Linked DNA regions of Saccharomyces cerevisiae S288C. The gene in region 1 interacts genetically with each later gene. Each region holds a gene or a part of one and is shown in the gene's direction. Other genes may lie near its edges.

The links.
Region 2: mutations in ISY1 (region 1) and GPI2 together harm fitness more than expected from each alone (negative genetic interaction), as found in Saccharomyces cerevisiae (2 studies listed by BioGRID).
Region 3: mutations in ISY1 (region 1) and ECM2 together harm fitness more than expected from each alone (negative genetic interaction), as found in Saccharomyces cerevisiae (3 studies listed by BioGRID).
Region 4: mutations in ISY1 (region 1) and PRP3 together harm fitness more than expected from each alone (negative genetic interaction), as found in Saccharomyces cerevisiae (2 studies listed by BioGRID).

Annotation. Positions count from the first base shown.
Region 1 is NC_001142.9:524,957-531,062, forward strand, and holds ISY1 (Isy1p), read left to right. Parts: upstream 1-3,740; coding exon 3,741-4,448; downstream 4,449-6,106. Other genes in the region: ANB1 (translation elongation factor eIF-5A), read right to left, coding at 1-425; CYC1 (cytochrome c), read left to right, coding at 1,379-1,708; UTR1 (NADH/NAD(+) kinase), read right to left, coding at 1,928-3,520; OSM1 (fumarate reductase), read left to right, coding at 4,905-6,106. UniProt on the Saccharomyces cerevisiae protein: Involved in pre-mRNA splicing and cell cycle control.
Region 2 is NC_001148.4:408,809-411,785, forward strand, and holds GPI2 (phosphatidylinositol N-acetylglucosaminyltransferase), read left to right. Parts: upstream 1-1,634; coding exon 1,635-2,477; downstream 2,478-2,977. Other genes in the region: YPL077C (uncharacterized protein), read right to left, coding at 560-1,282. UniProt on the Saccharomyces cerevisiae protein: Part of the complex catalyzing the transfer of N-acetylglucosamine from UDP-N-acetylglucosamine to phosphatidylinositol, the first step of GPI biosynthesis.
Region 3 is NC_001134.8:366,249-372,716, reverse strand, and holds ECM2 (Pre-mRNA-splicing factor ECM2), read left to right. Parts: upstream 1-3,038; coding exon 3,039-4,133; downstream 4,134-6,468. Other genes in the region: TIP1 (putative lipase), read left to right, coding at 1-614; NRG2 (Nrg2p), read left to right, coding at 2,018-2,680; CNM1 (Cnm1p), read left to right, coding at 4,533-5,747; YBR062C (uncharacterized protein), read left to right, coding at 6,117-6,132, 6,215-6,468. UniProt on the Saccharomyces cerevisiae protein: Involved in pre-mRNA splicing. Facilitates the cooperative formation of U2/U6 helix II in association with stem II in the spliceosome. Binds to RNA.
Region 4 is NC_001136.10:1,403,945-1,410,019, reverse strand, and holds PRP3 (U4/U6-U5 snRNP complex subunit PRP3), read left to right. Parts: upstream 1-4,165; coding exon 4,166-5,575; downstream 5,576-6,075. Other genes in the region: JIP4 (Jip4p), read left to right, coding at 1-2,556; TRAPP subunit TRS31, read right to left, coding at 5,847-6,075.

The DNA of each region.
Region 1 (6,106 bases):
ATGGCAGAAATGATAGTGACCATCAAATCCTTACCTTCATCGAAAGCAGCTTGCATGCTGTCACCCAATTCACCTTCTGGTGCCTTGACATCGTCTTTGGTTTCACCGTCCATGGTCATCAAGGACAAGTAGCCATCATCAATATCCAACAATTGGTATTCGCTTCTCTTGACAAATGGAACTTCCAAGTTGTGAGTGGATGGAGACAAATCTTCCAACTTCTTACCAGTGAAGATATCAAGGGTAACCAAATGGACCTTGGCGTGACCGTGCTTACCGGTCTTGGAAGTGGACATGTCGACAATCTTACATGGTCTACCTTTGATGACAACGAAACCATTCTTTCTCAAGGCAGAACATTGCATTGGGTAGGTGGCGGAGGCACCAGCGTCAGCATTTTCAAAGGTGTGTTCTTCGTCAGACATGTTTTAGTGTGTGAATGAAATAGGTGTATGTTTTCTTTTTGCTAGACAATAATTAGGAACAAGGTAAGGGAACTAAAGTGTAGAATAAGATTAAAAAAGAAGAACAAGTTGAAAAGGCAAGTTGAAATTTCAAGAAAAAAGTCAATTGAAGTACAGTAAATTGACCTGAATATATCTGAGTTCCGACAACAATGAGTTTACCAAAGAGAACAATGGAATAGGAAACTTTGAACGAAGAAAGGAAAGCAGGAAAGGAAAAAATTTTTAGGCTCGAGAACAATAGGGCGAAAAAACAGGCAACGAACGAACAATGGAAAAACGAAAAAAAAAAAAAAAAACACAGAAAAGAATGCAGAAAGATGTCAACTGAAAAAAAAAAAGGTGAACACAGGAAAAAAAATAAAAAAAAAAAAAAAAAAAGGAGGACGAAACAAAAAAGTGAAAAAAAATGAAAATTTTTTTGGAAAACCAAGAAATGAATTATATTTCCGTGTGAGACGACATCGTCGAATATGATTCAGGGTAACAGTATTGATGTAATCAATTTCCTACCTGAATCTAAAATTCCCGGGAGCAAGATCAAGATGTTTTCACCGATCTTTCCGGTCTCTTTGGCCGGGGTTTACGGACGATGGCAGAAGACCAAAGCGCCAGTTCATTTGGCGAGCGTTGGTTGGTGGATCAAGCCCACGCGTAGGCAATCCTCGAGCAGATCCGCCAGGCGTGTATATATAGCGTGGATGGCCAGGCAACTTTAGTGCTGACACATACAGGCATATATATATGTGTGCGACGACACATGATCATATGGCATGCATGTGCTCTGTATGTATATAAAACTCTTGTTTTCTTCTTTTCTCTAAATATTCTTTCCTTATACATTAGGACCTTTGCAGCATAAATTACTATACTTCTATAGACACACAAACACAAATACACACACTAAATTAATAATGACTGAATTCAAGGCCGGTTCTGCTAAGAAAGGTGCTACACTTTTCAAGACTAGATGTCTACAATGCCACACCGTGGAAAAGGGTGGCCCACATAAGGTTGGTCCAAACTTGCATGGTATCTTTGGCAGACACTCTGGTCAAGCTGAAGGGTATTCGTACACAGATGCCAATATCAAGAAAAACGTGTTGTGGGACGAAAATAACATGTCAGAGTACTTGACTAACCCAAAGAAATATATTCCTGGTACCAAGATGGCCTTTGGTGGGTTGAAGAAGGAAAAAGACAGAAACGACTTAATTACCTACTTGAAAAAAGCCTGTGAGTAAACAGGCCCCTTTTCCTTTGTCGATATCATGTAATTAGTTATGTCACGCTTACATTCACGCCCTCCTCCCACATCCGCTCTAACCGAAAAGGAAGGAGTTAGACAACCTGAAGTCTAGGTCCCTATTTATTTTTTTTAATAGTTATGTTAGTATTAAGAACGTTATTTATATTTCAAATTTTTCTTTTTTTTCTGTACAAACGCGTGTACGCATGTAACATTATACTGAAAACCTTGCTTGAGAAGGTTTTGGGACGCTCGAAGGCTTTAATTTGCAAGCTTCGCAGTTTACACTCTCATCGTCGCTCTCATCATCGCTTCCGTTGTTGTTTTCCTTAGTAGCGTCTGCTTCCAGAGAGTATTTATCTCTTATTACCTCTAAAGGTTCTGCTTGATTTCTGACTTTGTTCGCCTCATGTGCATATTTTTCTTGGTTCTTTTGGGACAAAATATGCGTAAAGGACTTTTGTTGTTCCCTCACATTCCAGTTTAGTTGTCGACTGATACTGTTAATAAACTCATCGGGCGAGGCTTCCACGGTTGGAAAAGCATATGGGCTGGCGCATATGGTTATAAAATCACCTTTTTGCAATTCAATTCTATCTTTCCCATCAAAAGCCGCCCATGCTGGAGCCCTTGACTTCATCGAGACTTTCACTTTTAAATTTATACTTTCTGGTAAGATGATGGGTCTGAAACTCAATGCATGTGGACAAATGGGTGTTAAAGCGATTGCATTGACGGTTGGGCATACCAATGACCCACCTGCACTCAAAGAATAGGCCGTGGACCCAGTCGGAGTAGCAGCAATCAGTCCGTCCGCCTGCGCAACGGTCATTAATGAGCCGTCACCATACAATTCTAACATGGATAGAAAAGGACTTGGACCACGATCGATGGTCACTTCGTTCAAAATGTGGTGTGTGCTTAGTTTTTCCACCACACATATTTTCTTCCCCGTGTTTGGGTCTACTTCAGGGCGGTGTCTACGATAAATTGTGCACTCCAACCTCAACCGTAAATTTGTCTTGATTTTATGATTCATAATCCGAGGTAAATCCTCCCTGAAATGTTCAAACTTAAAATTTGTTAAAAATCCTAGAGACCCTAATGAAAACGACATAACGGGTGGTACATGTCTCTGAAAAATGGAACTTACAAAAAGAACAGTACCGTCGCCACCCAAAGTCACTACCAAATCGAAGAAAACATCATGTTCCCTGATGAAATCCTTTGTCCAATACTTGATCCTTGATTCTCTACATTTACTATCTTCACATAACTCGCCAGCGGCAAATTTTTTGCTGTTTTTCAATTCGGAATCCACATAAACAGTCACACGTGGAAAATGTACCAAAACCCATTCTACCAACTCTCTTGTTAAGAAATACAGTGAGACATCGTTGAGTTTCGTAACAATCATCAAATTTTCCACATCCAGTTCCACTTTGGTATTAGATATATCTTTACTCAACATTCTTACACCATACGCCGTGGAGGCATACTGAAAGTGTGTATTACTACTCTTAGAACTTCCTCTTGTTCCGTTAATGCTCGTACCACCGCCACTGTTTGCATTGCCGTTCACGAGAGATGAATCTTTATTCAACAGGGAGCTTCTGCGCGAGCTGCTTTCACTTGATATTTTCCTCAACATTTCTTTGGCGTTGTCGATATCCTGAGTTCTATCAATTTGCTCATTGTTCATCATGGCCTTCTTCATCAAGTTATTATTGTTGTTATGATGATCATTTCGACCATCTTCCTCATTTACCCATTTATCTACGCCATTATTCATGTCATTCTCCTTCATCTCAAGAGCTTTTACTCTACTTATTTAGGGAGCCTATTGTATTTTTTTTTGGCTTACGATCACGATGTCAATGATCATTTGCCCTATTATACCTTTTTCTCCGTTCTCTTTGCGTAGTGCGGTGAAATAATTTCAGGATGCATGAAAGAGCAAATAAAAGTGACACACCGTTATATCGCAAGGCGCACCACATCAGTAATCAGATACCTGTGCATTCAAAATGAGTAGAAATGTAGATAAGGCCAACTCAGTTCTGGTACGATTTCAAGAGCAGCAAGCAGAGTCGGCAGGTGGATACAAGGATTATTCACGTTACCAGAGGCCCAGGAACGTGTCTAAGGTAAAATCCATAAAAGAGGCCAACGAATGGAAGCGACAAGTAAGTAAAGAGATAAAACAAAAAAGCACAAGAATATATGATCCGTCTTTAAATGAAATGCAGATTGCGGAACTTAACGACGAACTTAATAATCTTTTCAAAGAATGGAAGAGATGGCAGTGGCACATTGACCATACACTTATGGAAAAAAAAACCAAGAGGAAAAGGTTAGAAGACAGTCATGTGCTGATGAATTCAGGAAAGCTGATAAATGGTAAGAGATATTTTGGAAGAGCCCTGGAATTGCCTGAAGTAAAAGAATGGCTCAAGCAGTCTCAAAGGCAGAATGATGGGGGTTCTATAAACACCAAATGCATACCGAAGGATAGAAATGATTTTTATTACCATGGCAAAGTCACAGCCGCCTTAACCGAATTTGAGGCTAACTGGACATCCATTTTGAAAGCACATTATAATGTGCCTGTGAATGAAGATGAAGAAGAAATGTCAAGGCAGACACAAGAAATCCATGTACCAACTCTGGCAGATATGGAGCATTGGTTAGTGCAAAGAAGAAAAAAGAAACTAATGGATGAACTTAACCTTTAGCTATGGAAAATTATTCAAACATTTAGAAGAGGCACTATTTCGAATGACCATCACAAGCATTATAATCTTCAAACATGTCCGAGCTGCAGATATGAAGTAAAATAGTGATCGGGACTCATTTTTTTTTCTTCTATGATATCATATTGTCCCGTTCGTTATTAAATGTAATTCTTCCACCGTACTAGTTATCGAAGGCAAGATCTCCTTTTTACGCTTAGGTAGATTACATAGATTTCATAATGTACACCAATACAAATGTATCTTATACACTCGTCAAATCTTATATGAATCATGCAGGAGTAGCTCTCGTTTTCTTTTTACGAGCTACTTGAAAAAAAAAAACTAGCGAAAATCCTTTGCTTAGAAATCCAGATTTAAAACAAAACCGCCGAAAAGGGAAAGATTTTATGATAGGAAATACCTTAATAATTCTATATCATCCCGAGTCTTAGGAAAATGATTAGATCTGTGAGAAGGGTTTTCATTTACGTCTCAATATTCGTATTGATAATAGTTTTGAAAAGAACATTAAGTGGCACAGATCAAACGTCAATGAAACAACCAGTGGTGGTCATTGGCTCTGGTTTGGCAGGCTTAACCACAAGTAATCGTCTCATTAGTAAATACAGAATTCCTGTTGTGCTTTTGGATAAGGCGGCTTCTATTGGTGGGAATTCTATAAAGGCTTCTAGTGGTATTAATGGTGCTCACACAGACACTCAACAAAATTTAAAGGTAATGGACACTCCCGAATTGTTTTTGAAAGATACTTTGCATTCGGCTAAAGGCAGAGGGGTTCCATCACTGATGGATAAGTTGACTAAGGAATCCAAGAGTGCTATCAGGTGGTTGCAAACAGAATTCGATTTGAAATTAGACCTCCTTGCGCAATTGGGCGGTCACTCTGTTCCAAGGACCCATAGATCTTCTGGCAAATTACCACCAGGTTTTGAAATCGTGCAAGCGTTATCAAAAAAACTAAAGGATATCTCTTCCAAAGATTCCAATCTCGTGCAGATTATGCTAAACAGTGAAGTAGTGGATATCGAGCTTGATAATCAAGGTCATGTTACTGGTGTAGTATATATGGACGAGAACGGAAACCGTAAAATCATGAAGTCACACCATGTCGTGTTTTGCTCAGGTGGATTTGGTTACTCTAAGGAAATGTTGAAAGAGTACTCACCAAATTTGATTCACTTGCCAACTACTAATGGCAAACAGACTACAGGTGATGGTCAAAAAATCCTTTCAAAGTTGGGTGCCGAATTGATTGATATGGATCAAGTGCAGGTACACCCTACCGGCTTCATTGATCCAAATGACCGTGAAAATAACTGGAAGTTTTTGGCTGCAGAGGCATTGAGGGGTTTAGGCGGCATCTTATTGCATCCCACCACTGGAAGAAGGTTTACAAATGAATTGAGCACCAGAGATACAGTAACCATGGAAATACAGTCTAAATGTCCGAAAAATGATAATAGAGCACTTTTGGTAATGAGCGACAAAGTCTACGAGAACTATACGAATAACATAAACTTTTATATGTCCAAAAACTTAATCAAAAAAGTGTCAATCAACGATCTGATCCGACAATATGACCTACAAACTACAGCTTCTGAACTGGTAACTGAACTGAAGAGCTATTCCGATGTTAA
Region 2 (2,977 bases), on another chromosome or scaffold:
CCTAGCACAGTATAAACTTGTCAACATAAACTGCTAACTGCAATTATAATCCCTTGCTATTTTAATTACCCAAACCTGTGGTGAAGGTCCGAATGAGCGGTGAAGAGAAAAAGCGTCGTGATTGGTTCAATATTGATGTCGATTACCCGGCCAATGAGGCTCGCTCGATGGGACACCTCTATGATAATAGTTGTCGCCACAGCCATTCTGAATTATATTTATCTTTTATCTACGTATGTGCCATTGTCACAGCACATTTCTAATTCTGTGTGAGGAACTAATTTAGCCATGGACAGTTTCTCATGCGTGGAAGACCTGTTATGCTGTATAGTACTGCGCCGCGTTAAAAAATATTCATGCTTGTAGAGTAGAATATTCCTATCTTTACCGGACCGTATTTCATCTGGGAGTTGCAGTTGCGTCACAACACAGTTTATGGCTATTTTATTTTGAAAATTAAGCATATATGACATAATTAGAGCACTCCTATGTGGGAATTCTTACACTTTTAATGTAGAATCTCTTGGTGATTGTTACTATCAGTTGTGTTTTGGCCCTACTATTGTAATTCCCTTATAGTGTTCACCAGCTCTTGAATGTACTTTCCTTCTTCAGGATCAACGGTTGGTCCATTTGGATTTCTAATTGCGCTGCTACTATGCATGTTGTTGCTTGTAGCTTCATCTCCGACGGATTTTCCTGTTGGTGATGGCGTTCTAGTCATCATGGCAGCAGCGGTTGCGACCGCCACTTCACGACGTTGTTCCTCTTCTATTTTAGCATTGCGGTCCCTCAAGACTTGAAGTAGTTTACTATGTGCTTGCCTTAATTGCATCAGTTTGTTCTCGAACCCTGGAGGAAACTGATCATACAATTCTGTTGCCTGCGCCTGTCTTTTAACGTCATCTAGGGCATCTATTTCTCTCCACAAATAGTCTTGTCTGTCGATTATAGGCCGTACTTCCAGTCTGTTATGTGTCTGTAGCGGTATATCTACGCTATTTCTCCGGAATTTGGCAACTCCGTTATAGCTAACACTATCGGTATCTATTGTGTCATTACCAACTGTGTTAGCACTTGAACGGTTATAATAGTTATTGAATAGACTCCTTGTCGAAGGAATTTGGGAAGAATAAGATGGCCTAAATCCTGAATTTCTAATATAGGGATTTACATTTGGTATTGTCCTGGGAAGGTCATGGATGCTGTCCTCCCCATACCGTTCATCGTCTTCATTCGTGATTTGCCTTCGTACTGAGCTTTTTTTCTGGAGATCTTTCATGAAGATAGTGAATTGTAAATTTTTGGTTAGGTTTTTCAAAAACAATGTCAATTACATGTCAGCGAAGGCCAGGTAGTAGGTGTCCGTGGCTATTGATTATCTTGATATCCGAACTTGAGACCACTTCGCGGCTACTAAATTTATGAACTAAAAATGAAAATTTCAACTTTCCATTACCTCTTCGCTTTAAACCAATTTAAAGGTACAATCACACTTTAAGTATTGTTGTTAGACGGTGGTGAATATAATCAGAGGCATCCAAACTTTCTGTTGCAGGTCCATTATCCTCTCAATTTTCGTATGACCTTAAAGAGACTTCATAGTTTATATTTGGTTATTTTCAATAGGTACAATGACAAGATCTCCCTGGAAGCGCCTACTATGGTTGAAACAGGAGTACCCAGATAATTATACAGATCCAAGTTTTATTGAGTTGAGAGCAAGACAAAAGGCTGAGAGTAACCAGAAGTCTGATAGAAAATTATCAGAAGCTGCTCGCGCTCAAATTAGGTTGGATTTTATAAGTTTCTACCAAACCATATTGAACACTTCTTTCATTTACATCACTTTTACATATATTTACTATTATGGCTTCGATCCTATTCCGCCAACTATTTTCCTTTCATTTATAACATTGATTATATCAAGGACGAAAGTCGACCCTCTATTGTCCTCATTCATGGACGTAAAGTCTTCGCTGATTATCACATTTGCAATGTTGACTCTCTCTCCAGTCCTCAAATCTCTTTCTAAAACAACTGCATCTGATTCCATATGGACATTGTCTTTTTGGCTGACCCTATGGTACATTTTCGTTATTTCGTCAACAAAGTCCAAAGATAAACCCTCTAACCTTTCCACCAATATACTTGTCGCCCTTGTTGCTGTCCTATCATCGAGGCTTTCGACCACAATCGACGTATTCTGTTTTCTTTTAATTTGTATTCAGTTGAATATCATTCTACCCACTTATTTATCGGTGACGAATAAGGTAGTACCAATAATTTCAAATATTATTGTATACTCATTTTTGAATGTTGCTCTAGGTTGGATTTATATGCTGTTGATTTTCTTTGCTTCAGTATTTTATATTACTGTTTTACCTAAGTGGTTCATCTACTGGAAAATCAATTATCATAAACGGGATAACGATCTACTAAGTACATGGGATGCAAGAACACCAATATTGGATTAGCGCAATCAAGAACATGATTTCCTTCGGATAAGCAAGGGAGGGGTACGACTTCTGCCCGCAGGGGCTTATTGCCTGTCCTCTTCCTCGACCCCACGGTATTTCATTATATATAGAGTCACTGTAATAATAATTATCATGAAACCTGACAAGCAAAGGCGTCGGGCAATTACCAAAGGGCAGTTCGGTCGATTAAGTTTGCTTCACTACAGATTATTCACATATCATACGACAACTTTAAAATTGAACATTCAGGAGATTTTTGAATGCATTGATGGGCCCTTGCACCTTAACCGGGTCCCAATATTAGAGAAACGCCCCCTTAAACTGAACACAAGACAATACTACCTGGCCAATAGGGTACAATTTGCGGCCGTGTTAAACAGGCGTTTCAGCGTCTACCGCTCCTAATTTAAAGTCACTTGTTTCTTGGTAGCAGCAGCTTCCTGTTTTCTTCTTTTTGGCACTTGGTTATGTGATAATATCACCCGGATGAGAAACCT
Region 3 (6,468 bases), on another chromosome or scaffold:
CTTTCGTTTTAAGTGCCATTGCCTCTTTGGCCGTCGCTGACACCAGCGCCGCCGAAACTGCTGAATTGCAAGCTATTATCGGTGACATCAACTCTCATCTTTCTGACTACTTGGGTCTAGAAACTGGCAACAGTGGATTCCAAATTCCATCTGATGTCTTGAGTGTGTATCAACAAGTCATGACTTACACCGATGACGCTTACACTACCTTGTTTAGTGAATTGGACTTTGATGCTATCACTAAGACAATTGTTAAATTGCCATGGTACACCACAAGATTGAGTTCTGAAATCGCTGCTGCTCTTGCCTCCGTTTCCCCAGCTTCTTCCGAGGCTGCATCTTCTTCCGAGGCTGCATCTTCTTCCAAGGCTGCATCTTCTTCCGAAGCTACATCCTCTGCCGCTCCATCCTCTTCTGCTGCCCCATCTTCTTCTGCTGCCCCATCATCATCTGCCGAATCATCTTCTAAGGCCGTTTCTTCTTCTGTCGCTCCAACTACCTCTTCTGTCAGCACTTCTACAGTCGAAACTGCTTCCAATGCCGGTCAAAGAGTCAATGCAGGCGCTGCCTCTTTCGGTGCTGTTGTTGCAGGTGCAGCTGCTTTATTGTTATAAAAGGGAACCTTTTACAACAAATATTTGAAAAATTACCTCCATTATTATACCTTCTCTTTATGTAATTGTTAGTTCGAAAATTTTTTCTTCATTAATATAATCAACTTCTAAAACTTTCTAAAAACGTTCTCTTTTTCGAGATTAGTGCTTCTTCCCAATCCGTAAGAAATGTTTCCTTTCTTGACAATTGGCACCAGCTGGCTACTCGTTGCTCGAAAACTACTCTCTTTTATTTTTAATTTACGAACGATTATCTTTCGAAGGAACGACCAAACGAGCTAAATATGGGCATCGCCAACGTTAAAAAAATGGACCCTACCGAAGACGTTATTATGCCAAGGCGCAGCGAAGAGTCTTTCTCCTTGAGAAAAAATATGCATGAAACAAAATAGACAGGACCAGACCCTCTTCGGGAAAAAAAGTCAAGATTTAACACGTGGCTACACCGGCTGGCTTACAACCAACCAACATAAGATCAAACAACCCTCAAGTTTAGAAAATGCCTTAATAGCAACCTCTAAAACCATAGACTTCTCCATTTTCACGTGCTAAAAAAGTTCGGGTATGATGTCATACAAATCCTTTCAACAAAAGATGCTTCAAGATCAATGGCACTCGAGATCATAAATCCCTGCAGAGCAGCGGCTCTGCATATAGAATAACAAACAAATCGTATTTTTCCCGAAGCCAAGAAAAAAAGGAGACTATAACCTTTCAAGCCAGACGGAAAACTATCTGCCCAAGGACAAACTGGCATGGGCTGCTTCAATGTTCGGCTACCTTTTTTCTCTTTTAACGGGGTTTGGTATTTTTTTTCTTTACTTCATAAACGAATGTTAAACGACTGTGAAAAAGCCATCCCTGGATTATGCGAGAGTACTCTCAGGGCACCCGTCCGTTTAAAGACCCCAGGCCAAAATAAAAATTTCTTGAAGGAAAAAAATACACAGGGCCTTGAACTGAATACAAAGCCATCTTTTTTCTCGTTTGTCAGCACGTCCCAGAAAAACGCGCAGCCGTAGCTCTTGATAAGTGGCTTCTGCGTTTTGCAACGCTTTTCTGATCTCATGTTTTCTTATGCTGCGGGACATCATTGTCGTTGAGAAAAGTTTCAATTTCAAACGAACTGCCTACCGTTGCATTCTCCTTGGAGAAGGGCCTGAGTTTAGGGGAATCACGTCTGGCTATTACATGCTACATCGTGCAGTAGCTCCTACATCGCTAACAGGCAAATCCTACACCCTCTTTAAATCGTTTATCTTTTATATATTATCTGGCCTAAATTTTTACATATAAATATTTATCATATTATGACAGCTCAAATGAATTTCCGGCACCAAGTCATATGAGCACTCGCTACTGTTCGAAGAACAAAAAATATAAAGCTTCTACAAAATTTCCAGATGTCCATAGGTTACAAAGACAACTTGATGTCAACTATTCTAGCTAAAGATAGGAAATGTGAATTTCCCATCAATTTCGAATGTTCGCCCTCCCAGATAACTCTTATGCCTGAAATGTTCTCTTTTAACAATGAAAGGAAATACCAAACCCTGATACCCTTGATGAAAACATCACATCTAATTGATGATGACTTGAAAGATAAATTGAATAAGTGCGCTTTCGATTTTTTCTCCGGAAAACAAGCGAACAGAACGAGTGACGGGACTATTTCAAGATTAACAGCAAGTGGAAAAACGTCACCGATACTGCCATTGCAAAATATTAATATTGTAAAAGCAGAGAATACCGGTAACGGTAAATCAGATCCATATAGCTCAATTAAAATAAGCAAACCGACAAAAACCGTGATAAAATTGAAATCTACGAAAACCAATACAGCAGGACAGAGGACTCGTCATTTCTGTAAGATCTGCTCTACTGGGTTCACCACTTCTGGTCATCTTTCAAGACATAACAGAATCCATACAGGTGAAAAAAATCATATCTGTCCGCATGAGGGCTGTGGACAGAGGTTTAGTAGACATGATAACTGTAATCAGCATTATCGAACTCATGCAAACAAGAAGAAAAGAAACTGGAAGAGGAGGGAGGCTAGCAGTTGATGTGAGTGAGCTCAGCCAAAAACATTTAAATATTCAAATAACGTACAAATAAAAGACTGATAAATAGTAATAAAACTAAGCGGGTTAGTAATACTCACCAAGAACAATAGCAGGAACGATAGTCGGTTCTCTTTCGTAATTTTTTTAAGTCACAACCCGGAGGGACGTGAAGTTTCAAACCTTATTCATTCCGGGATTACCCTCTCCTGTGATGACGTTTAGGCAATAAGGACTAAAAAAAAAAAAAAGAAATGCTATGGCAAATTTTATTGATAGAAGTGGTAATGATGATGGAAGGGCTTTTGAGCAGGTGAATAGAAGGTAGCTAACGGAAAAGAGTTATTGCACCCTTAATATAATGAATGATGAAATTAATGAGCCACCGCCCAATATATGTGAGCAGTGCTTAGGTGATGAGGCTAATATACGAATGACTAAAATTCCACAAGGCTCTGAATGTAAGATTTGTACCTTACCGTTCACCTTATACCATTTTAAGACGTCTAAACGAAGCAATAATATCATTAAAACATTAATATGTGTACGGTGCGCCACTCAGAGAAACATTTGTCAATGCTGTATGCTTGATTCAAGATGGCACATCCCTATACAACTGCGGGATCATTTAATATCCCTTGTGAACGAGGAAAACGTTATGACGGAGGAAGCAAAAAACGACATGATGAAAAGGTTTCTGTCACTAAAAAACGTGAAATTAGGAGGAGCTCAGATTACGAGTGATCCGTCAGAAGCAGATAATATCGTTGATAAATTGAAAAATATACTTCTGCGAGCAACATCAGATGGCCCAAGTACTCCGTTAATAAAAAACACAACTGCATTGTATAAAAATGAAAAAGGTGCAAATGAGGTCAAAAACTTGGAAAAGTACGCGTCCGTGGACATTTCTCATATTTTGAAGAAACTACCCTTGAATGAATCGTTTTTAAAAAACCCCTCCACCAAATCATTTTTTCTGTATAATATTGATGCCTCGATCCCTGAATGGAAAATAACTGATACAGTTTCGCAATTATTGGGTATAAAGAAATGGAAGGATGGAAATTCATTGTCATTAATAGTCAACCACAAGGCGAAGTGTGGTGGCCTAAGATTTCAATCTAGTGAATTGGGGGAGCGGTTTGTCAGTAAAATAAGTGAGACACTTGTCACACCAAAGGGCCTAAAGAGAGGAGTTTTACTTATTGACCGTTTTAGAATCTTTATCATTCCGTGGTCGTCTGGCTTTTCAGCTGCGTCATTCGGAACCAACACTGCAGAAAATATAAAACTTAGTTTAAGTTTGAATAAGCTTATTCAGTTGGAGCTAGGGCTTTCTTTTCCTACAAAAAGCACAGATAACGCAAAGAATGACAAGAAAAAGACATCAAAAAAAGTTCATAAGGACAGATCAAAGAAATCGAAACCTCGCGCTAACAAGTTAACAATATAGATGAAACGTAAGAAAAATCATGGGTTGAAGAAACGAACTGTTTGATCAATTTCGACCATCCATCTACCTTGCAAGTAATAAACAAAAGCAGGTTGAGTGGGGAACTTTATCTAAGTTGATCAGTATATCTGACAAATTTATACGGAATGCTGCAGTTTGGATTAGCACGAACATTTTATCTGTACGGTTTGTCGCTTTTAGCTGCTCGGGCTCTTCCTCTCGGTTACCGAGATGATAACTCGGCCGAATTTTGTAAGTACAAATAAAAAGAAAGTGACACAATTCTAAAAGTATCACTATAATTTATTATTTTGAGAAAGATAAGGTTCCATAGGTACATGATATATTGACTGATTTCTGATAGCTCTTTTTTTTCCAATATCGATAAAAAACTAAAATATGGAGGAACTAGGTTTAAAAAGCACTTTTCCATATGAATATGGCTCAGACTTTACAATGATAAGAACGGAAATGTTAAATACTACGAAGAGCGAAACAACTATTTTATTTTCCAATATAAAGAGCATTTTGGCCATTATTTGGAAATACTCATTTACATTTTTAAGATCTTTTTCCGATTCCATCAAACTTATTATTGACGATGTTGTCACTATTGGCTCCCGAAATTTTGCAGAGAGATTACAGATTGAAGCGAAAAAAAACAATGACCAAGAAGATATCTGGGCATCCACAATAATTTTGGGTGTGATTATCGGGTATTTAATCTCTTCTATTAAGAGAAAGAACACTTTTCCAATAATGCCTACGAGCTCACCTAAAATAGATGATTGTAGGTTCAAGACTGGTGATACCATATCCATTGTAATAAACTTTAATGAAGACTGCCTCAATAATCGAAGTGACGTTACCGAAGAGAGAAATTATGAGGAATCCACAGTTTTACATTCAAAGGAGTCAGTTCTCAGCATTGGTAGGCAAAATATGGTAACTTTGAACCAAAGCGATGAAAATTTCACCTATGGCAATTTTGATGAGTACGACTTATTAACTAAAGATTATACAACAGAGGTCTTAACGCGATCACCTGGCTCGAATCCCGAGTTTAAAGCAGTGGTAAATAATACATTACTTGATAGCGCGAATGAAACGCCGTTTAAAGGTATTGAAAAAAGTATTAACGAAACAATGGTTAAAGTTCCTATGGGATGCGATGTATCTCTCTCCCATTATGGCAGACAATACGCGCCTGGAAATATTTCAATTATGAGAAGCTTCACTGCTCGAGATAATACTAAATCTGTGAGTAGAGAAATTCGTGATATCTGTAAATCGTTTTTGATTATAAAAAGCCAATTTGGTGACGAACTTTTCCTGACTATGTTCATGGAAAAACCAGTTTTCTTTGATAACAACATCCCAATTGAAATAACTGGAGCATACCGAGAAAAACGAGAGCGATTAGATGAAGTGATTCATAAGGATCTTATCCGCTATGATGAAGTTCAAAATTTGACAAGGATTCGCAATTTGCTCCGGGTTAAAAGTCAAAAGATTTGTTCCAGGAGACATAATAGTTCGGTTCCCACAAAAAAATTGTTAGTTAATGATAAAGGCGCAACTTCGATTCTACTGTGGTACTCTAACTATTCATAGATAAAGTTTATTTGATACATAATCCGGAAAATGTAAGATATGCCAACTGTTAACTAGAAAACATCTGTACTCTATATATCGGAAACAAAAACTTTACGGGTACAACCATGATGAATAAGCTCGAAATTTTTGCCTTCCATATGAGTCCCATTTTGGTGACCAACTCTCCTACCCGAATTACTGTGATGATATATACTCTTCGTTTTCTAGTAATGGCTTCATTTTGCCTAAGTTGGTCAAAATTGTTGTGGGCGGCTTTTGTTTGCACCGAGGAGCGCTCAGTTCGTTATAATACCAGTTTTGCCACTCCTAAACTACTAAAGAAATAATAGAAAGATATATTCATCAAACATAATCACAATCAAAAAAATGTCTACATATGAAGGTATGTAATGATATATTATGAAGTAAGTTCCCCAAAGCCAATTAACTAACCGAATTTTAATCTGCACTCATCATTAGATTAGAGGAACATGGAATACAACAAAACTCAAGGGATTACCAAGAAGTAGGAGGAACTTCACAGGAGGAGCAGAGAAGACAGGTCAGATCCCAACTGCAAGGTCTATTTCAAAACTTTGGTAACACCAGTGGTGAGGGTGATGCACATTCAGATTCAACACTACTTTTACGATTATTATCGCAAATGCTTCCAGAATCATTACAGGAAGAATGGTTGCAAGAAATGGATAAAGGCAAGAGTGCGGGCTGTCCTGATACT
Region 4 (6,075 bases), on another chromosome or scaffold:
CTGGAGGATACGGTGGACATACTCGCTAAGCAGGACGAGGACAAGTCCAACAATGATGACAGGCGCAGTCTAGCCTCGATATTGGACTCGAGCAGTTCCGTCAAAAAGAAGGGGAAAGGCAGCAACGAAAAGTACCTACCATGCGTATCTTTCAACACAGTTCCCAGATCAAGGGTATCTTCGCCCTTAGATGAAGAGAAAAGAGAATTTCCTGGCGTGCAGATCTCTGCAGATTATACAATGGAGGAATATTATGACGACGAAAGTGGCTTTACCTCGGACAACAATGCCGACTACTTCTCCGGGAATAGCTATTCGAGTAGGCGAGAGGGCAGTGCTAGTCCCGGCAGGTATTCTTCTCCACCTCCTGCCTCTAAAAGAAACATCAAAATAGGTAAGATGTTTAAGATTTCTGAAAATGGTAAAATTGTAAGGGAAGACTATCCTACTACACCCACCGATATCAATGACGCTCTTGTGATTAGTAGGGCGTATGCCAATTGGAGACAACTATGGATCAAGAAGAAAAATCAGATAGATCATCGATTAGAACAAAAGCGCGATTTCTTCAATTACCCAACAATACTGTTTCCTCCAAACAAAAAAAAGTCGTCTGAGGGCGCTACTCCCACAATAAAATTCAATCCTCCCATAGAAGACGGCTTTACGCCTTTGACTAAGTCTCAAAAGCGGAAAGAGCGTGTTTTGAGCGAAAAGGTTGGGTTCCCGAACACTCCTCGAACGATATTGTGCCACATCAGCGGCAGGAAACATACTTGGGTAGCACTAGATTGGGCGCTACGAACTTTGATTCAAAATACAGACCACATTGTTGTGTTGGCAAACCTGCCCCGCCTGACTAAGAATAATTTCGAAGACAATGATTCGATGAGTGAGCGAAAAAGAATGCTAATGATGATGGATGATAGCAGGAGTGTTAGCTCAGCAAGAAGATCACGATCCAGATCGAGATCACGATCCATATGTACAAGAAGGGCACTTTCTCTGGGGCCTGAGGAATCTGACAACAAATTAAAGCACCAAAATTTTATCGAGTGGACATCTGGTTATACGCAGAACGAAATAGAACGTAAATTGCAAGATCTTTTTGATTATGTTACACTCATAATTCCGCAAGATCGTTCTGTCAAGGTCACTGTCGAGATCCTAATTGGCAAGACTAAAAAAACGCTTCTTGAGGCAATAAACATCTATTTACCTGATTTCTTTGTATCTAGCACTTTGAGGTGGGAGAGAACAGACAGCTTAGTTCGTTGGAAATCGAACTTTCTGACAGATAAACTGTGTACTAATTTTCCGATTCCAACGTTTATTGTACCGGCAAAGAGAATGTTCGATTTGGAAATAGATTTGCAAAAAGAGTTTAAAGAACCGGAGGTAACGAAACAAAAAAATACTAGCGGTCCAAAGCCTGGGTTCAGCCATTCTAAATCAGCAGATGCTAGCATTCCAACTATCTCAAATATCAAACGGAAGCAAGATAACGATTATTCTATAGATTCACTATGTTATGCCCCAGAAGCTAATGGTGCTAACAATAGTAGCCGAGAGGAAGCATCTGATGATGAGCTTAACGCTTTTAAGGATGATGAGAATGATGTGATGTCCGTGAAATCCTTAACCTCTAACATTTCGGTAAAGGAAAAGTTATGTACCATGGCAAGGAAACGTAGAAAGAGTATGGCTCAGCAGTTAAATGACGCCGATCATGATTCATCAATACCACCGGGACAGAGGCATTTGAAAAAACTGAATATTATTTTGGAATCTTCATTAAAGTTTTCATTAGAAATCGATAGCATCACTGATAGTATTGAAAATGGGGATGTAGACGAAAAGAGAGCACACTCTATGGAGTCGGGCTTTGAAGAACTGAAAAGAGTCATCACAGGTGGTGCTCCTCCAAGGCATGTGGCTACCCCGCAGAGGTCCATGCTTGATGTTTTGGACAATCCAAGTTCATCTAGATCCAAATCCAAGTCAAGATCAAGCTCTAAGTCAAGGATAAGAGACAAATCAAAACCAAGCTCTCCTACTGCTACCGATATAAACTCAAGTGCGAGTGCGTCGAGATCACGTTCTCCGCAAATCAAGTTCGCGTCGAGTGTCAAGAATGTAGATGGTAATGCTGCACTGGGTGCTATTAAATCTAGGCACTCGCTAGACAGCCCAGGGGACCAGCAACAACAACATCATCATCACCATCATCGTGACACAGATCAGTTGTCCGTTCCAGGCCTTCCCCATTTGGCACCTTCAAAGTCATATAGTGTGAGTTCTGGTAATAAGGATTCATCTTTGAGGAAAGTCAGTAGCTCATCTTCGCTCAGAAAAGTAAAATCTAATGATTCGAACTCTGGTAAACGTATTAAAAAACCGGTCGTAACTTCAGCACACTTGAAACCAAGCTCAGGCGGTGGTGGTTTATTCTCTTTTTTTAAGAGTAAATCGAGATCCCCGTCATCTTTCAGAAAGGAAGATGAGAGTAAAAATACGCCTAAGCGTGGCGGATTGTTTGGGTTCGGAAGGCTGTAGTTGGTCTTACGTTCTTATGTGTTTATTCGATATAATTCTATAACATTTTTATGACTTTGTGCCTTTATGCATAACATGTATTGTACATATTAATCGACAAAAATGACATTCAATACCCTACACTAGTAATTAATAATGCTGCAATTCCATCATCGCATTCTCACCTAAAAGAAATGTGGACAGTGTTCATTATAAGCTGGGTTCCTATTCGTATTTCCGGCAATAATGCGTGCTAAGTGAGTTTGTAAAATCGTTAAAATGAGAATCAATGTACAAGGTTAGTATCACGTCAATTCTTTCAAAGCTTTATATTATTAGGTATACCTCCTTTGAAAGTAGCACCAGTCAAGATAATGGATCTTTATCCATAGTTATTGCAATTACTTTCAAAGCAATGCGGTTGTTATTGTTGCAAAAATATTGCAATATTAACTTCTTAGGAATGGTGAATTGAATTGTGTCGTAACATACGCTGTAACCCTTGTCTTTTGGGTTTAGAATGCGGAAATGAAAAACGTATAGAACATGATGAATCTACGAAGTGCAAGGTCCACGAAACAAGACAGTATCGTTGCAATTCAGTGAAATCCTTAAAATGGTTCAAATATAGATACTGGCTATCTTTTTCATTATATTGGCTTCTTTGACCTGTCACAATTATAGGGTTCAACAGTTATCTTTGGAGGAAGAAGCTGCTCATTGATGAGAAACAGGATTTATGGAAGAGAAGTCACATTCGTGAAAGGCACATTCATCAAGAAATTTTATTTTTTCTTTTGTGCTTCCCAAATTTACTGCCATACTACTCCATTTTTTGACAGCTTATTCATTTAAGAATACGACCTAACAATAGTATTCCGGAACTTTTTAACAATATCAATGACGACTAAGAGAAAATGACAACTGCAGGGAACAGATTTTAGATTTGAAAAAGCCATGACATGATACTACTATGTTCTAGATGTGTTTTATCTCCTTTTCGGTAGCATTTTTTTGGTAATTATCTAGTACGAGAGGTGACAAAATCTGTTGTTCTCCTTTAGGTTGTCGTAGTCAACTTTTTTTGTAGGAAAATTCTTGCAAGTACCCTGAAGTTATGTATGATGCAAGTCTATTGATTGTAATCAATAAGTTTTTCTAGCTCTGGCTTGCTATGTAACGTAGTGAACAATCAATGTTATCGAAAAAGTTTAGGTAAAATTCTCGAAAATGAATGCTGATAATTACTTTTTCTTCACTCCCCAATTTTGGATAATACTTGGCAGCTATATTCGCGAAACAGGAAGGTTAAAAACTGCTTCTCCAATGAAACAGTAGTTAACATATCCATTTAGCTAGAGATACTGCTTTTGGCCTCTGGACAGGCACTGTGAATTGTTCTTATATGTTCTAAAGTAAAGAGCCATGACTCAAAGAAAGTTTCTTGACTATGTTAATTTTTTTAGCATACAAATTTTAATATTATTCACATCTGCGTTTTTCTGACTGGATCCCGCACTGATCAATAACAAGAAATAGTCCTAGTAAAGTATTAGAATGCCAGATGACGTAAAACAATCAAAAAGACTCACAGAAAACATCAGGCGATCTATTGAATTGGCTTGAAAAAATGCCCCCAAGAAATACCTATGAAAAAGGTAATCCGAAACGCCAAAATAGTCCATATTATAAGCCAAGTTTCTTACGGCGTGAAGAAACTACCAATGATGAGGAGAAGTTTCAGGGCCATGGTCTGAAAACCGAACTTCACTCAGCGTTAAAGTCTTCAAATTTGAATCTTATCCGAAGAACTTATCAAACTGGTGAAAATCCCTATCTTAGTGATCCACACGATCGAGGCTCATCGAGCAGATTTAACAGGCGTTATGAACGGGGTCTGAAGTTTTACCAAAAGGGAGAAATCAGTAAAAGAATTGCCCAAGAAAGAACATTACAAAAACAGCAGGAGGAGGAAGAATTAAAAAGAAAGTTAAAACAAGAAGAAGACGAGAAAGATAAAAGAAAATTAATTGAGTCAGGTGATTTACCCAATTTAGAGTTACATGAGGATAAGTTCCTATTAGATTTGTCAAAGTTCAAGATATACTATGATAATAATCATGGCTATGAATGGTGGGACACGGCTTATTTAGATGAAAAGGGTGAGTTGATGGAAAAATATGACATGAATGGCACATCGCCTGCCGAAGAAAAGCTAGCAGAAGATATTGATGAAGTAGACGATGATGATGATGATGAGCACCCATCTATAAGATATGTAGCACATCCCTTACCTGAAAAGATCAACGAGGCAAAAGTATCAATCAAAGCATATCTAACGCAACATGAAAGGAAAAGATTAAGGAGAAATAGAAGGAAAATGGCAAGAGAAGCACGGGAGATAAAAATTAAGTTAGGACTATTACCTAAGCCTGAACCGAAAGTTAAACTAAGCAACATGATGAGTGTTTTCGAGAATGATCAAAACATAACGGACCCAACTGCCTGGGAAAAAGTAGTGAAAGACCAAGTGGACCTCAGGAAGAGAAAACATCTGGAAGAAAACGAAAGAAGACATGAAGATGCTATTAAAAGAAGGAAAGAAGCAGTCAATATGAACGTTGAAAAGCCGACAGTATACCATTGTAAGGTGTTCCAGTTCAAAAACTTACAGAACCCAAAAATAAGATTCAAGTTGAAAATGAATAGTAAAGAACTATCACTAAAGGGTTTATGCCTCCGTATACGTGATGACGGACCAGGAATAATTATAGTCGTGGGTAACGAAAAATCATGCAAATTTTATGAGAATTTGGTGATGAAGAGGATAAAATGGAATGAAGATTTTGAGTTGCACACAAACACTGGGGATATAAAAATGGACATGCATAATAATTCAATATCAAAAACTTGGGAAGGCTATTTACAAGATTGTAAATTCAAAGGCTGGTTTATGAAAGTATGCAATGATCAGGATTCTTTATTACGTACGCTGGGTCAGTTTGATTCAGAGCATTTTTATTCACCTGTTCAAACGTGATATCGGTGTCTACAAAATGATACGCTTTGTTTCATATTAAATATTATTTTACTGTATGTCGCCCAGAATAATGATTTTTTTAGCACAAAAACATTCCAAAATATAAAAAGAAAATGATTTTATATGATAGATGTACTTCAAGGAAATCGACAATTAAAAGAATCATTCTTCGTAATGAATATATGAGCATATGTCTATAAATCAACAGTAAATATACAAACTCTTTATCCTTTTCTTGGTTTTAGGTATTTACCGATGTTTTGAGATGATATCAGCCAAATCTCAAACCTTCCCTGTCAAGCACTTGCCTGTCAAATTGGATCAAATAAACGGTTCGTTGACTATGTCCGCCTTGGGGCATTCGATGTGCTGTCACGCCACATGGAAATCCAGCATTGAAAAGGAATCCTTTGATAATGCCGCAAACGAAGTACTCACAAGAAACGTTCTCACCTGGGATAAATTGGGTTAAAGTGGGGAAGTTATCTACTATCATATAT